Linked DNA regions of Oreochromis niloticus. Each later gene encodes a partner of the first gene's protein in a complex. Links are inferred from orthologs where the notes say so. Each region holds a gene or a part of one and is shown on either strand. Other genes may lie near its edges.

The links.
Region 2: the proteins of pawr (region 1) and spsb1 are in contact, whole or in part, in a crystal structure (PDB 2JK9), measured with the Homo sapiens proteins. The link is inferred for Oreochromis niloticus from reciprocal best matches to the Homo sapiens genes PAWR and SPSB1. Residues at the interface, in NP_001341661.1 of Homo sapiens: Glu68, Leu69, Asn70, Asn71, Asn72, Leu73, Pro74; in NP_079382.2 of Homo sapiens: Arg77, His78, Pro79, Val80, Ala81, Gln82, Gly110, Thr111, Tyr129, Val216, Trp217, Gly218.

Annotation. Positions count from the first base shown.
Region 1 is NC_031981.2:15,987,614-15,991,532, forward strand, and holds the start of pawr (PRKC apoptosis WT1 regulator protein), read left to right. Parts: upstream 1-814; 5' UTR 815-1,024; intron 1,025-1,256; 5' UTR 1,257-1,392; coding exon 1,393-1,959; intron 1,960-3,919. UniProt on the Homo sapiens protein: Pro-apoptotic protein capable of selectively inducing apoptosis in cancer cells, sensitizing the cells to diverse apoptotic stimuli and causing regression of tumors in animal models.
Region 2 is NC_031984.2:21,424,387-21,428,305, forward strand, and holds the start of spsb1 (SPRY domain-containing SOCS box protein 1), read right to left. Parts: upstream 2,273-3,919; 5' UTR 2,103-2,272; intron 1-2,102. UniProt on the Homo sapiens protein: Substrate recognition component of a SCF-like ECS (Elongin BC-CUL2/5-SOCS-box protein) E3 ubiquitin-protein ligase complex which mediates the ubiquitination and subsequent proteasomal degradation of target proteins.

The DNA.
Region 1 (3,919 bases):
CGATTGCTGAGTGGTGATGCAAAGCCAGCATAACTACACAGGGGTGAACAGAATTTTAGACCTAGACACATTGTTCGGATCATAAAGAAGTAAAATACGAATGTTTATTACAAAAGAAACTGTACATGTGAAGAGTTGTTGCTTTTGCACTGTTAAATACACATGCACATGTTATGACAGCAGACCTTATTCTTGCGAAGCTGTTAATCATGTTCTTGTAAATGGGTAAATGGGTGGCTCATCAAAGGGGACAATGCTTCTTCTTTACACTTTTTCTTCTTACCGCAAGGTAATAAAAAGTTAATTTAAAGAGCATGAATGCAGATCTTATACAAATGAAAATGTTTATCAAATTTCTAACTGACAATGGAAGCAATCCTTTCCTTTCTTTGCCCTTATTAAAGAAAGGGAAGGAGTGGTTGCAGTCATTTTACTGGTCTTGGCTAGTTTTTGTAACACAGACAGATAAATTATAGAAAATTATTGTCATACTCACAGTGAAGAAATATGTTCCCCTGTGCAACAATAACAAATGGCAAACAGAAAAGAATCCACATACAAAAATAGATAAATAAAATAACTGATGATTTAAAAACAACAGAAACAATTGTAAAAAAAATATCTGGGCTGCTTGAAACTTTGTACATATACACTTTACACAACTTACATATAAGGAAGCATGAAAATGCAGAAATGTTATCATAAAAATAATTAACACAACTATATTAACCTTTATCTTTATGGAAATATCGCCGATAAGTATTGTAAAAGCTATAACAAATAACCTTAAACCCGAAAGCACCTGTGGGAACAGTGAAGAGTTATTACACAGCGCCCCTTCTCTGCTTCGGCTTCAGTCGGAAGTGTTCGCGCACTTTCGGGATTCAAGCCGGTGTTTTCAGAGGAGTAGAGCGAGCACGGCGGGTCCCAGCTCCGCAGACTACAGCAGTTCATGTGAGAGCAGCTCGGGCACACCTGGTTGGACCGTGAAGAGCAGTTCAGCGACCGAGACAGCTCCACTCAGGTGAGTTTCTACCTGAATTTAGACCTTTGTTGTTCTCTCGTCCACTTCTCCACACTCTGACTTTCTTCTTTCGGGCGGAAAGTTACCTTAGAGATAAACAGACTTTGTAAACTTACTTTTTAAACAAAACCCGTCCTGCACGCTGAGTATCGCGAGGTGGAGGTGAGAACGCCTCCATAATGAACAGCTGAAAGTTTACTTGTCCTGACTTTATTTTCATTCTACCTTTCAGCAGCTCCCGAGTTAATCACTTGAGGAATGTGGTGCAATTAGGACGGTGGCCGAGAGCTGAAAATTCATATCAACTTCAACTTTTAAGTTACTTTTTTTCCTCACTTCGACTTTGAACTTATAAGAAAAAAGGGATCATGGCTACAGGCGGATTCAAGTCAAGCGCCGCGACGGACTTTTTGGAGGAGTGGAAGGCAAAACGGGAGAAAATGAGAGCCAAAATGCTGGGGGACATTGCCGCAGCCACTGGTACTCCCTTGGGTGCCAGCAATACAAACAGCAGCCGCAACGCCGTTCCTCCTCCATCTCCTCCTCCTCTTCCTTCGGCCACCGAGTTCACCAACAACGGCAACCCGGACCGAAGCTCCTCCGCTGGGAACTGCCACCCCTCCTCCTACGCGGTTGCTCGGTCCTCCTCTGGCACTTCTCTAAAGAGGCCCGAGGAGGAAATGCACCACCCCGTGGCACCCTCAGCCACGCCGGGAAGCAACCTGAAGAAGGCCCTGCCTCAGCCGGAGAAGACTCAGGACTCTACTCCCATGGCTTGCAACGACAGTGACAAGGAAAGCCCGTCACCCAGCAGCAAGGGCAAGGAGAAGAAGAGCACCGGGCCCAGCGCCAGGAAGGGGAAAGGACAGATCGAGAAGAGGAAGCTAAGGGAAAAAAGGAGATCCACAGGTGTCGTGAACATACCATCCAATGAGGTGAGTCGGGGGAAAAGAGGGCAGAGATTCACCTCAGCATCAGAATGGGTATAACTCGGAGGCTCGTTTTGGGATTGGTCATGTTTTTTCTCTATTGGGAATAAAAGTATTTCCAAAAAACTATTAGTGAAAGTTAGTCTCTTGTATGTGGAAATGGGTGGATGCTTGATGCTTGTGCATTTTTATTTTTATTTTTGTAAGGAAATAGTGGCTTCTGTGTGTTGCACTTGAACACCACTTGCCTTCCTACACTCCAAATTCCTCCCATACATGTGTCTGGTTTAATTGAGCCTCTGCTGGACTGAAATGAAAGCAGTTCTCAGATGGTGGGAGCGGGTGGAGGTGTACAGTATGTGTGTTGCACATTCATTGTTGTTGGATTTAAATCATGTCGCAGTCCTGCCTGATTCCTGTGGTTCAGACACATGCAGGAACTCTGATATGAAGCTTGGCCAACACTGAAAAAACACTCAAATTACACGGAAATTCTCGGAATAGATGCCCCCCCCCCCTTTTTGTTTTTTTGTTTTTTTTTGGTAAGGGGATGGTATTCTGGTGTCTTTCAAAGTGGTCTGTGACCACCTTTCATTCTCCTATTTGATAGCCACCCAGAACAATATGCCCCTGGGGCAGCACAACTTGGAGTTTGACCAGCCTGTCAGTTGGAGCCCCACATCCTGTTATTAGGTGCTCAGCAGTGCCGAGCAAAGCCGTTTGAAAACTGGTCACAAGCCAGGCTGTAATGCTGGGCTTCAGCACTCTGGGCTGCGCCAGATATGCTAGATCGAGCCCATAGGCAGCTGATTATGTAGTAAAGTGGGCGAACCGTCTATTATTGGGGGAGGTAGGAGGTGATCTGATGAGGTGGTGAGCTGATTTGTGTGAGCGGGGAAGAGAGAGAAAGAACTGGAAGTGCTGTGGTCTGAGAAAGTTTGTAGAACTTCCCGAGGCAGGTCCTTATCCCTAAAAGTATAGTGAGTAAGAGTATAAAAGATGGACGTACCTGCTGGTTTTTAATTCAGCTTTAAGTGTCCAATGAAAGAAACTGCAGGTTTTCTGTGCACTAGGCTTGGGTGCTATGGTGATGCTGATGTGCTTGCAGTCCAACACTGTGTCCAGTGTGCTTGTAAACTATTTACATACCCTAATTCCTGTCAGCGCCTTGCAATTCCTGTTAATGTTCTCTTTTAATTGTTATTTAAAAGTTATGTACAGCTGAAGGCAGATCACTACATTTGTTAAATAAAATGACAAATACTATGCAGATTTAAAAAAAGGTTCATTGCTGAAAGCATTTGTATTCATCCGACTCCACAACTCAGATTGGTAGGTTCTGATCATCATACTTTGTCAACCGTCGGCACCTGGAGTTGGATAACAGTGATTAAACTGTTCCGCTTATCTTCCGTTAGCGGTGATCAAATGGAGACCTAAAGCCCAGGTGACTGCAGGCAGCCAAAGATCAATCTTTGACTTTTGTCTTCAGCTGCTGAAGTACCTCTGCTGGTAAATATAATGTGACAGATTTCCTGAATGGGAAGCCAAACTTTTCCTCAAGTCGGGCAATCAGAAACCTGCGTAACATGAGATTAATGCATGTGTTTCGCGTTATAGTTAGGCCGGTGATTTCGAAGGAGCATCCCCAGGGACATTTTGACACGTCTCCGATGCTTTCGCACACCCGTGCCAGTTATTCGGACGGTCAGCAGGGTCAGACGGTTATCAGCTTAGACGATCGTATCAGTTTGGCAGCTATGTCAGAGTTACGTAAATGCATTTGTTTACAAACAAATTTATTTATTAATTTTTAAATAATGACTGTGAACCAGCTATGAGATGATAAGCCTCCTGGATATAATGGATCTAAGGTTGTGCTTGCACTGAGCTCATGTGTCTCCCTTTCGTGCACAGATCAGTGGACGCCATGATTCTTTGTACTTTGAGGCTTTTTTGTGTTTAT
Region 2 (3,919 bases), on another chromosome or scaffold:
CCACAACCTCCAAAAATAGGGGGAAAAAAGACAGGAAAAACTCCAGCCATTTCCTATTATATGGCTGTCTAGTCAGAGGGCAACAGGAAAAGCTGTAATAAAATGTCTGGTTTAAAAAACAAGTTTTAGAGAAGCACAGCTGGACAGGAGCTCTTTTGAGGCAGAAATAGTTTCAGTAGAGAAACTGGACAATAAAAGCCTGATGGACTACCTTCTCATAACTGTTGAAGAAAAATGAAGAATTTGTCTTCAAATTTAATTTTCATGCTGTTTTTTTTACAGCATGAAGCATTTTTTCCCTTAATAAGCCCAGAAGCAATCAGTAGCAAGATACGTTTGGAAATAATATCCCAAACACATATGTGACTTTTGTGGGCCCAGGTGTCACTGCTGCAGCTTTCTGGGCTTCCCGTTTCTGCCTATGTTGCAGCAAGGCTGTAGAGAGCATTGTGTAATGTGGAAAATTGTGCTGCAGGGAAGGCCACTCTAATTGAATTGTAGACAAGAGTTCATTGAGCAGTGCTTTGGCCTTTCTTCTAATGCAAGTAAACAACCATTTAAATGGGTCATGTCTCTTTAGTGATTGGAAAACAAGGAGGGAAGAAAAAGCAAGCAGCGGGTGGCAAGCATCTGAATGTAAACAATCTCTTTTTCGATGGCTGTCCAGCATTCATGGAGAGTGAAACATGTTAATTTGCACACTCTCTGTGCCAGGAGTTTACCATCCCCCCCCCCTCATTTCCACCACACAGGGCCACCTTACAACGCATGCAACATTAGGAGGCAAATCAAAAATGCAAGAACAATAAGGAGTCGTCCCTGATTTCATTTGGACTTCAAAACAAACATACCCACAGGGAGTATAAAAGATGGCTTGTGGAGGGGTGTATTTGGGCTGGGATTCTAGCCTGGGTTTGTTTAGGGTTCCTGGGCCCCCCAATTGGTTTGAAGCTGATTAAAATGCAGAAGGAAAGGCCTCGCCGGATTTGCTGAGCCAAGGAAACACTTGTTTCTATCCAGGAAAGTTGATTCTGTTCATCTGGACATCATTGAACATGCATCAAGATGCTTGTTTCTATTGTAAGGCTCAATTTGGACCAGGCCCACCTGAACTTAAACCACAGCCTGTTTTTCTGATTTGCTGAATACATACAGTTAAGCTTTAATAAAGACAGTGTGTCACACAGGAGTGCACTCAAGAATTTAATATGGTCTGCTTTGTTCTGTGTTTTAACTTTTTGTAGTTTGTCATCACCACGATTTAGCACAACGCTATAACTAATGCAACCTTACACGGGCATATGAAGATCACCTTTCAAGTTAGAATATCCAGGTTTTGTTGACTGGTTTATGTCTAACTAAACAGCTTTAAATAGACAGCACACACGTTCTGAAACTGAGGACAGACTAAGCCTATTGGCATAAGAGAAGACAGGTATAACAATAGTGCCACTACCTACAGGCCTTGACTAAACTGGTACCAACACGCATCTACAACAGCCTGAATAAAAACTAAACTTACTGTGTGAAAGTAAAGCGTGCTGGCAGCTGAAGCAGCAGACTGTGAATGAGCGTATGTAGGCCTTCTGAACACTTATTCCTCCGAGTTTTGCCATGCTAGCTACCGTAGAAGCAGCCTGGGCTTAATAGTTTTAAATGGACCTGGCGACCGTGTGGTCCGAGCTCGTGGAACCGTCCACGCGCAACTACAAACAGAAGAAGAAGCGCGTGAGTCAACCGTTTCTTACCCCTGGTCTTTCTTTAGCTTCGTTTTTTTTTTTTCTTTGTTTACCCGAAACTCGACCGCCTGCGAAACATTTGTTATCCGACACACAGCAAAAACCGTCGGCGTTAGCTGAAGCAGCTACACAATATGGCTAATGTTAATAAAGGAGAGGAGGGGGGACGAAGACAGCGACACAATTTAGTGGTTACTATGTCTAAACTGGGGAGGGAGGGGGGAAGCTTTGCAGGCGTTGTTGTTTTTTCTTTTTATATCAGATATTTAAATGTGATGTAAAGAGGAACACTAGAAGCGAAACAAACGTTTCGACACAGTAAGCACAAAAACACACAAGAGGAAAAGCACACAGCAAACACACCTTGTTAAGTTGTGAGGCGGCAGCAGGGTGGATGAGACCGGGCACGGTTTCAGTGGCTTCAGCTACTCCATCGTAGTTTTCCTCTTCCTTGTGCTCTCACCTTTTTTCCCAGGCTGGGCATGAATTAGGTGAAATGGTGATGGCTGCTCTCTAACAGCTCTCGCGTCACGTGGTCAAACGCTCCCAGCTGCTAGACCAGATTAGGACCTCCCCACAGAGCGGCTGCAGCTACAGCAAAGATGGCTTCGTGTTGGTAATGCAGTTTATGCTGATTTTCTTTAGGCCATAAATGTATTCACGAAAAATGTAAAATAATATGCGGTGCCGATATTTAATCCGAAGTGAAGATGTAAACCCAATTACAAGATCAGATTTTAATACATTTCACTGCTGATATGAACACTTTCTAGAGAAATGTTTTATTATGCTAACCTAATTTGTTTTTAAAACACATTTTTCGCTATTTCTGGCGTCTTAAGGTAGTGAAAGGTGTATTTTTTATAAGATAAATTCGAAGATATATGGTTTTTTTTGTTTTTTTTTTAAAAAGGTCCTACAGTTCAGTATCATGGGTTAAATTACATTTAAAATTTTTGTGTATGTGGTCAAAGATGTGTACAAATATAAAAGTATTTATCAAATGCATTTACACTCATCACCAGCTTTGCAGCTATATTTGTTGAGTAGAATAGTCAGACTGGTTTGAGATGATAGGAAGGCAAAAATAAATCGTATAACCACTCATTACAACCAAGGTGTGCAGAAGTGCATCTTACACAACACATCAGACCTTAAAGCAGATGGGCTACAGCAGTAGAAGACCACACCGGGTGCAGATCCTGTCAGCTGAGAACAGGAAACTGAAGCAACAATTTACCCAGGTTTCCCAAAAGTAGACAACAGATGATTGTGATCATGTGGATTCATCTTACCTTGTATCAAAGGTTCAGGCTGCTGGTGCTGGTGTGAAAGTGTGGGAGATGTTTTCTTGGCACAGCTGAGCATCATTTAAATAGCACAGCCTACCTGAGCATTACTGCTGACCACGTTCTTCCCTTTATGACCAAAGTGTGCCCATCTTCTGATGGCTGCTTCCAGCAAAGATAACCTACCATGTGACAATGCTCATCTCAAACTGGTTTCTTGAACTTGACAAATAGTTTACTGCACTCAGATGGCCTCCACAGTCACCAGATCTCAGTCCAATACGGCACCTTTGGGATGTGCTGTAATGCGAGATTTACATCATGGATCTGCAGCTGACAAATCTGCTGCAACTGTGTGATGCTGTCATGTGAATATGGACCAAAGCCTCAGAAGGATGTTTCCAGCATCTTGTTAAATCTCTAGCAGGATGATTTAAGGCCTGATATAGACTTCTGCAGGGAATCTTTATAGAGTCTACAACATAACCTGCGACCCAACGCGTAGTTACATTTCTCGTGAAGTGCAAGTTACATTGCGTGGAAGTTAATGAGGTAGATTTCCTGCTGAAGCATAAACCAGGTGTAAAGAACAATCCAGTACTAGTAACAAAGTACCTAACAAAGTGGCAGTGAGTCTATATGTAGATACTAAACAATCATACACCTCATCATGGACATAAAAACAAAATGTACACATTGCTGTAAATGGAAAACCTACTGAAATGTTCCATTATAAAGCTAACTTCAGCACAGTTCACCCTTCAGAAGGCTCAGTGTTAAAAAAGTCAAGTAGGACCCCACACATCAACTGTTTATTCACTTTTATTGTTTTTTTGCTGTTGTTGTTTTTACTTGTCCTGTTCCGGAGTTTTATTAAGCAGAATCACGGTC